2 linked regions of the Canis lupus familiaris genome follow. The protein of the gene in region 1 interacts with the protein of each later gene in a pairwise test. Links are inferred from orthologs where the notes say so. Each region holds a gene or a part of one and is shown in the gene's direction. Other genes may lie near its edges.

Region 1 (3,509 bases):
CATCAATGACTCATTCACATCTTAAAGAGCACTGGGGTGGTTTCCACTTGTTCATTATTTCCATGAGTTTTATAAGTAAATGTCCCTGTCCTTGCCTTTATGTGCAAGTATATCCCTCAGCTAGATATTTAGAAACCATGTGGGAACTGTTCAAACCTGCTCTCTTCCTAGGATTGTGATAGATTCTCTTTCTCTTACCAACTCCCCAACTTCTGGAGGTAGTAACTCCAGGCTTGACGATCTGAAAACACAGCAGGGCAGGTAAGGCCATGATGGAGCTGGACAGGTGGCTGTTGAATGATGCAGCCTCCATCACATTGTGAATGTCCTTGGATAAGTCTGGCCTGTCGGTTAGAATCTGAAGCGTGCTCCTGCAGCTGTAATTTGAAAGCAGGTTAAAAGCAGAGAGCAAGGCAAATAAGGCCATGATGGGGTCTCAGTCACAGAATGCTTTTGCCTGAAGGGAAAGCTAGCCCCTGGCTTCAGCCACACCGGGTGGCTGTCTCTGGCTGCATGGGAACGCTCCAGCTTGGCCTGGAAATAAGTGGAGGAGATGTCACTTGAACATAGGTTGGTGCCTTTACTTTCTGTAAAGGAAGGGCCAAGGGAGTATTTTAGTTTTGTAGACCCATGTGGTCTTGATTGCCTTTGCACCCGAGCAGCAGCCATAGAGGGGTGCCTGGGTGGCTCAATTGGTTAATTGCTTTCAGCTCAGGTCATGTTCTCGGGGTTCTGGGATAGAGCCTTGTGTCGGGCTTCCTGCTGCTGGGGAGCCTGCTTTTCTCTTTCCTTCCCTCTCATACTCTCCCTTGCTCTTTCTCTCTCTCTCTTAAATAGATAACATTAAAAAAAAAAAAAAAAAAAAGGCAGCCAGACAATCTGTAAAAGGGGAATGAGCACAGCTGTGTTCCTAAATTGCTCTGAAAGTATTAGTTTGCTGACCCCTGACCTGATAATAATGACTAAGGTATGGTGGTGTCGAATTGTCATAAATAAATATATTTATTTTTAAATTTTTAAAAAAGATTTTAGGGGATCCCTGGGTGGCTCGGCAGTTTAGTGCCTGCCTTCGGCCCAGGGCGTGATCCTGGAGTCCTGGGATTGAGTCCCACATTGGGCTCCCTGCATGGAGCCTGCTTCTCCCTCTGCCTTGTTTCTTTCTCTGTCTCTGTCTCTGTCTCTGATGAATAAATAAATAAAATCTTAAAAAAAAAAAAAAGAAAAAAGCTCAACCCTTTGATAATGACCTTAAAGCCAAAGAAGTTCTGAAAAGGGAGAACTGGTAGGGGGGCAATGAGGAATTCTTAGAATGGTTAAAGTTTAATAGATGCATAAAGGTATGTGTAGAAGAGGGATGAGGATGTCCTTGGTATGAGAATAATTTGAATAATAATTAAAGTGGTGCCAGAGAGCAGCCCAATCTAAAGTGAAGATGACCTGGGATGGGGAGGGCTTCTGGTGATGGAGCCCTGAAGAGCCAAGCCAAGATTGGGATTTGGTCTGAGGGAGGCAGTAAAGCTTCATGAATGAATGTTTCTGAGCTATGGTATTTCCTTTTTTTTTTCCTTAGGTTCTCCAGTTGCTACTGGAACGGGAACTCTTCTACTGGTCCTCTCTGATGTGAATGACAATGGCCCCATTCCAGAACCTCGAAATATGGACTTCTGCCAGAAAAACCCACAGCCTCATGTCATCAACATCATTGATCCAGATCTTCCCCCCAACACATCTCCCTTCACAGCAGAACTAACACACGGCGCAAGTGTCAACTGGACCATCGAGTACAATGACCCAGGTGGGAATTGGAGTCTTACTTCAGAAACGTTGACCCCATGCTTTCCCTGCTTCCAACACCGTCCCCTTCTGAAATTCCCTTCTCAGCTCCCAGATGTCACCGCTTTTGTTTGATGTTTGTTTATTTGCCCCTTCTGCTTTCCAGGCATTCCACCAAATGTCCCTTTCCTTTCTGGTATCTGACTTGCAACATACTGCCCAGTAATCTGCAGCCCAAACAGTTCCTTTTTCTTTACCCCAGTATTTATTCTAGAATGAGATTTTTTTTTCTCCCCTTGTCCCATCATTTATTTTTGTTGGTTCCTCCAGCTCGTGAATCTCTAATTTTGAAGCCAAAGAAAACTTTAGAGTTGGGTGACTACAAAATAAATCTCAAGCTCACAGATAACCAGAACAAGGACCAGGTGACCACCCTAGATGTGTTTGTGTGCGACTGCGAAGGTGTCGTCAACAGCTGCAAGAGGACGGCGCCTTACGCCGAAGCAGGCTTGCAGGTTCCTGCCATCTTGGGCATTCTCGGAGGAATCCTCGCTCTACTAAGTATGTATGCTTGGCAAGTGTTGCAGCCTTTGGCTTCTAAAATAGGGGATCTTTATCCCTTACTGAACAGTTCAGAGATAAGTTGGCCAAGACTGGAAGGCAGCCTTACTCCATTAAATTTTAGCAGGAGCCCAGTCCTTCTGTTTTGTTCTTTCAGTCCCTCACAGCAGTTCTTCTCATGCTCAAATACCTACAAATCACCTGCATTAGGGTTCTTTTTTTTTTTTTTTTTTTTTTTTTTCCTTTTACCTGCATGAGAATTCAGATCCGGTGATCTGGGAGGTCTGGGGTGGGGGCCTCAGATTCCACATTTGTAACCAGCGCCCAGGGGGTGCAGATGTTGCTGGTCGTTGGGCCAACTTGGAACAGCAAGGCCTTGCAGCACTATCCTCACCTGAGCCCATGTACAAGCTGGTTCCTATGGTTGATGAAGACACAGAGAAGGCTTGATTGGACTGTGGAGGGCAAAGAGGAGGCCAACATGGCTGGAATAGAAGAAAGTTCTTAGAGGGAACAGTGGGACCAGCTTGGGATTTTGTTTTTGTTTTGTTTTTTAAGATTTTATTTATTTATTCATGAGAGACACACAGAGGCAGAGACACAGGCAGAGGGAGAAGCAGGCTCTGTAGGGAGCCTGGGATCCCTGGATCACAACTCAAGCCAAAGGCAGATGCCCAACCACTGAGTCACCCAGGCATCCCAGGAGGTTGGGTACTTCTAAGAAATTTTTTCTCCAAGTCTTGTTTCAATGCAATACTACTTCAGTAGTGTATCCTATAGAGATACTTGGGGGGCACAAACGCCTATAAAGAAAACACACTGAAGTTTAATACATTTTTCATTCATAAGAAATAGCTTTAAAAAATTTTAACAATTAGTTATTAATCACATGTATCCTCGAAATATCCCAAGGTCACATGAAAACTTTGGAAACCAGATTTTAGAGCTTGCTTACATGATTTTTGTCTTAAGAGAAAATAAGGAATATACAAGCTATCATATGATCTCTGTCACACTTCTTGGAACTGATTAAAAATAATTACGTATCTGTCAATCACATTTAGGCTGACCCAACCCTCCTCACAGACCTTCAGTGGTTCCAATTCAGAATCAAAGCCAAAGTCCTCCCAATAGTTACCACATTCCTGCCACCCCTCTGAACTCCTTTTCACTTT
Region 2 (3,984 bases), on another chromosome or scaffold:
CCGAAAAACTTGTTTAGGAAGCTTCAGATGCCGCGGGGAAGTGTATTTCAAGACCCCAGGAAGGGGCACCTGGCTGGTTCGGGTGGTTGAGCATCTGCCTTTGCTTTGGCTCAGGTCGTGATCTTAGGGTGTGTGGGGGGGTCCCCTGCAGGGAGCCTGCTTCTCCCTCTGCCTAGGTCTCTCTCTCTGTGTCTCATGAACAAGTACAATCTTTAAAGGCCCCAGGAGAACCTCCATCCACCGGCGAGCGCGGAGCACTCAAGGTTCCGCTCCCGAGGACTCCACGCCGATGTCGCTGCAGCACTACCGGCCCAGCGCACCGCCGCACGCGCTCCCTCCAGGATTCGGGGCCGGAGAACGCTCCTGGGAGGAGGGCAGGAGAATCATCATCATCATCTTCTTCTATCGATCCAGGAACTCTGGCACGGAAAGCGTGAACCACCCAAGGTAACGATGTCGTCACCAAGGGACGACAGGAATAGAACCCAAATCCCTGGGCTCCCAGGCTCGTGTTTTCTCCTTAATCGTGCGCTCCTTCCCACTCCTCCGAGAGCACCAGGTGCGAAGGGTCGGAGAAGGGAGCGCACACCCGGAGCCCGGTCGGCGAGGCCGCCGCCGCCTCGCTCAGGGGCCCCCGGACCCACTCCGCGGCGCTGGCCGGGGACGATGAAGGCAGCCGCGGCCGCGACCCCCGGCGACCAGGAGCTGGAGCTAGGTACCGCCCCGCTGCCCCTCCCCCCGGGCCCCGCGCTCCCCGCGCTCCCCCGCTCCCCCGCCGGGCGGCCCCGCCCCGCCCCCACCCCCACCCCGCGGAGGGGCGCGCGGGGCGCCTTGCTGCGTCTCCGCCGCTACCACACCTCCTCGGTGGGAGCACGGGCCGGTACCACGTGCGCTCCGCGGGGCCCGCCAGGACGGGGCGGGATGGAGACCGCACGCCGAGAGCCCTCCCCGCTCCCACGGCGCGGCCGTCCCCCGGGCAACCTCCCGCCGAGGACGCCTTCCGGAGCGCGCGCGGCTACGCACCCCCCCCGCTCCCCGCACGCCCCCCCCCCCCGCCCCGCGCGGAGGACGCCGGCGCGCGCGCACTGCGGGCCATTCCAAACCGTTACTCCGCCCGCCGGGGTGGGGCCAAGCCCAACGGCCGAGTCTGCGCAGTTGCGCCCGGCCGGCTCCGAGGCCGCCGCGCACTACAAGTCCCAGAAGGCAACGCTCCGCGGGGGCGAGCAGCCGCCTTACCTGCCGCGAGTTCGTTCCACCGGCTGCTGGTGCTCTCCCCGTTCCCCCGTGCCCTCGGGTCTCATTTCTGTAGTCAAGGCTTAGCACCTTCGACCTGGAAGCTCTTGGCGTACCCCCCTTTGTCTCCCTCGAACTATGCCAGACGCCCTCACCGGAGTTGGGTAGTGCACCCACCCGACAGAGGGGAACCTGAGGAGGCCCAAGCCGAGGCAGCTCGGTCGCACTTCCGCCTCGCGGGCTCCGGAAGGGAGCGCGCACGCGCGCCCTGCGACTCCGGCGCGGTTGACTTCCGCTCCCACTGTGCCCCGCGAGCCGAATCATGGATCACACTGGTAAGGAGGCGGAGGCAGCGGGGGTCCCGGGTCCATGCCCCCTCGGCCGGCCTGGGACTGGCTGCCCGGCGGGCGGAGCGGGGATGCGCTCGCCCTGCAGCGCTGGGGGGTGGCGGTGAGAGAGAAATCCCACAGACCCCTCCCGGTGCCCGGCAAGGGCCTGCCGTTTCCCGGCCTACCCTCCGGTGTGGTACCTACAGCCTCGGTGCCGGCAGCAGCCGCCGCTCTGGTGCTGCGGAGCTCCCCGCCCGCACGGTGGGCGGCGCGGCCTCGTGGGGACCGGGGCGCGCTGCCTCCTTTTTTTTTTTTTTTTTTCTTTTTAAACCGTGGTGCCCCGCTCTGCGTTTCGGGTGCCGGCGGGCAGACTCCAGGCTCAGGGTCGGGGCGCGGGAGGGGGCTGCGGGCGGGCGCTGCGGGGGGCGCTGCCGGTCCTTCGTGGACCCGAGGCGGAGCGGGGAGCCAGGTGAGAGTTTTCGGAATCCTGCTCGGACCGGCTTTTCTGTCTGAGCCCAAAGCCTGCTCCGCGCTTCGGCTGTGGTCCTTACTCCTCTTTCGGGGGCGTTTACAAAGGAGAGCTTAAATTCAAGATACCCGCATCTCTTTCTCCAAGTAAGAAGGACTCCGCTCTTCGTTGTGTGTTGTTTGGCTTTTTTTTTTTCATCGTGGCTTTTGGATAGTGAGTGAGTGAACCTGGGGCTGCTGTTCCGTGTGGTTCCATCAGCCATATCCTAAGTAGGATAAAAGGATACTTCTTGTATTAAGTATTGGGTAAGGTGTTCTCAGTCATCAAATGCCTACTTAATTTTGTACATATAGGCGTAAAATTATTTCTGTCTATAAAATTTAGTGAGTGCTAGTCAGCAAAACCTATGCCAGACCCCAGTATGCCTAGAGAGGGAATGATGGACTTGGAAACCAGGCCAACTGCGTTCCTGGCCTCATGGAGATTACATTCTGTTGGGAAAGACACGATAGAGAAGTTTTTGTTGTTGTTGTTGTTTTTTAACCTAAGCATTACAGATCATGATGAGCGCTTGGAAAAAAAATTAACAGCGTCTGTGGTAAAGACTAAAGGAGGAGGCTTCAGAGAGAGTGGTCAGGGAGGGTCTTTCTGGATTTCTAAGCTGAGATATGATAGATGAGAAGAATCCCTGCATGGAATTAATCAGGAGTAAAGCGTGTCTAGCAAATATGAAGACTCTGAGGAAGGAAAACGTAGAGGTCAGTCAGCTACAGCTTAGCAAGAAGCAATGAGCCCTAAGAGATTGGAAGGGACGGTGGGAGTCAGATGGTACAGGACTTTGAAGGCCGTGGTAAAGATTTTATTTTATTTTTTAAAGATTTTATTTATTTATTCATGAGAGACAGAGAGGCAGAGGCACAGGCTGAGGGAGAAGCAGGCTCCATGCAGGGAGCCCGATGTGAGACTCAATCCTGGGACTCCAGGATCACGCCCTGGGCTGAAGGCAGGTGCCAAACTGCTGAGCCACCTGGGGATCCCTGAAGCCATTGAGCAGGAGTACAGGAGGAACATAATTTCTTTTAAAAACACAGTAACTTGTTTGTGGAGAATGGTGTGAGAGACAAGACTGATAGAAAATAGTTTAGATGGTGATTGCAGTAGAACACTAAGAGAGGCTCGGTAATGAAGTTGGTTCGGTTTAAAGAAAAGGGGAGTGGGCATATCGAATGTTGTGGTGGAATTCAAATAGGAGCTTTGTGAGAGAAAGGAGAGATGACTACCTTTCTGGTTTGAGCAGCTAGGCAGTGCCCGTTACTAAGTTGGGGAAAACTTGGGAGGAAAACAGACGTCTTTTTTTTAAGTGGTAAAGGGAGACTTGGGAACTTGAGAATGAGATTTTTGGCTGCAAAGGATGAGCTGTGTACGAGGATATATAAGGGGAGATGTCAAGTGGAGATCAGAGGAAAGATCTGGGTTGAAAAATATGTATTTGAGACTTATGAGCAGGTAGCTGTTGTTTTAAGGAATGGGGATGGATGAGATCACTCAAAGAACAAGAATACAGAGAAGAAGAGGGCCAAGAACCGGGCTGTAAGGAACTCTGGTTTTGGAAATTTTGTAGAATTGAGATCTGGGACCTTGGTGTTAGAGTAGTAAACATGCAACTTCAGCAAAACACTTCTCATTACAGCCCCTTACTAGAATTGAGAGTGAAGCGCCTTCCACAGTTTAGAGGATAGTATGTTAGGAAGTTGTAGTGTGGCTGGGTGTGTCTCTGAGTATTATCCTAGTTCTCCAAGTTAAAATGTTGACCAGAAAGTAAGAGTCATCCTGGCATGAAAATATTCACAAATGATCTGACCACTTAAAAAATTAGTTCCTACTCAGATATCCCTGCTGCTCCTTTTCTGTTTTTAAAAGATTTTATTTTTAAAGTAAGCTCTGCACCCAACC

What was found. The genes of interacting proteins can lie anywhere in the genome.
Region 2: the proteins of CDH1 (region 1) and CBLL1 interact in a two-hybrid assay, tested with the Homo sapiens proteins (2 studies listed by BioGRID, with this or other methods). The link is inferred for Canis lupus familiaris from reciprocal best matches to the Homo sapiens genes CDH1 and CBLL1.

The regions. Positions count from the first base shown.
Region 1 is NC_049226.1:81,347,855-81,351,363, reverse strand, and holds part of CDH1 (cadherin-1 precursor), read left to right. Parts: intron 1-1,570; coding exon 1,571-1,795; intron 1,796-2,103; coding exon 2,104-2,334; intron 2,335-3,509.
Region 2 is NC_049239.1:13,103,212-13,107,195, reverse strand, and holds the start of CBLL1 (E3 ubiquitin-protein ligase Hakai), read left to right. Parts: upstream 1-1,181; 5' UTR 1,182-1,555; coding exon 1,556-1,568; intron 1,569-1,695; exon of another isoform or gene 1,696-1,823; intron 1,824-2,013; exon of another isoform or gene 2,014-2,177; intron 2,178-2,204; exon of another isoform or gene 2,205-2,336; intron 2,337-3,984. UniProt on the Homo sapiens protein: E3 ubiquitin-protein ligase that mediates ubiquitination of several tyrosine-phosphorylated Src substrates, including CDH1, CTTN and DOK1. Targets CDH1 for endocytosis and degradation.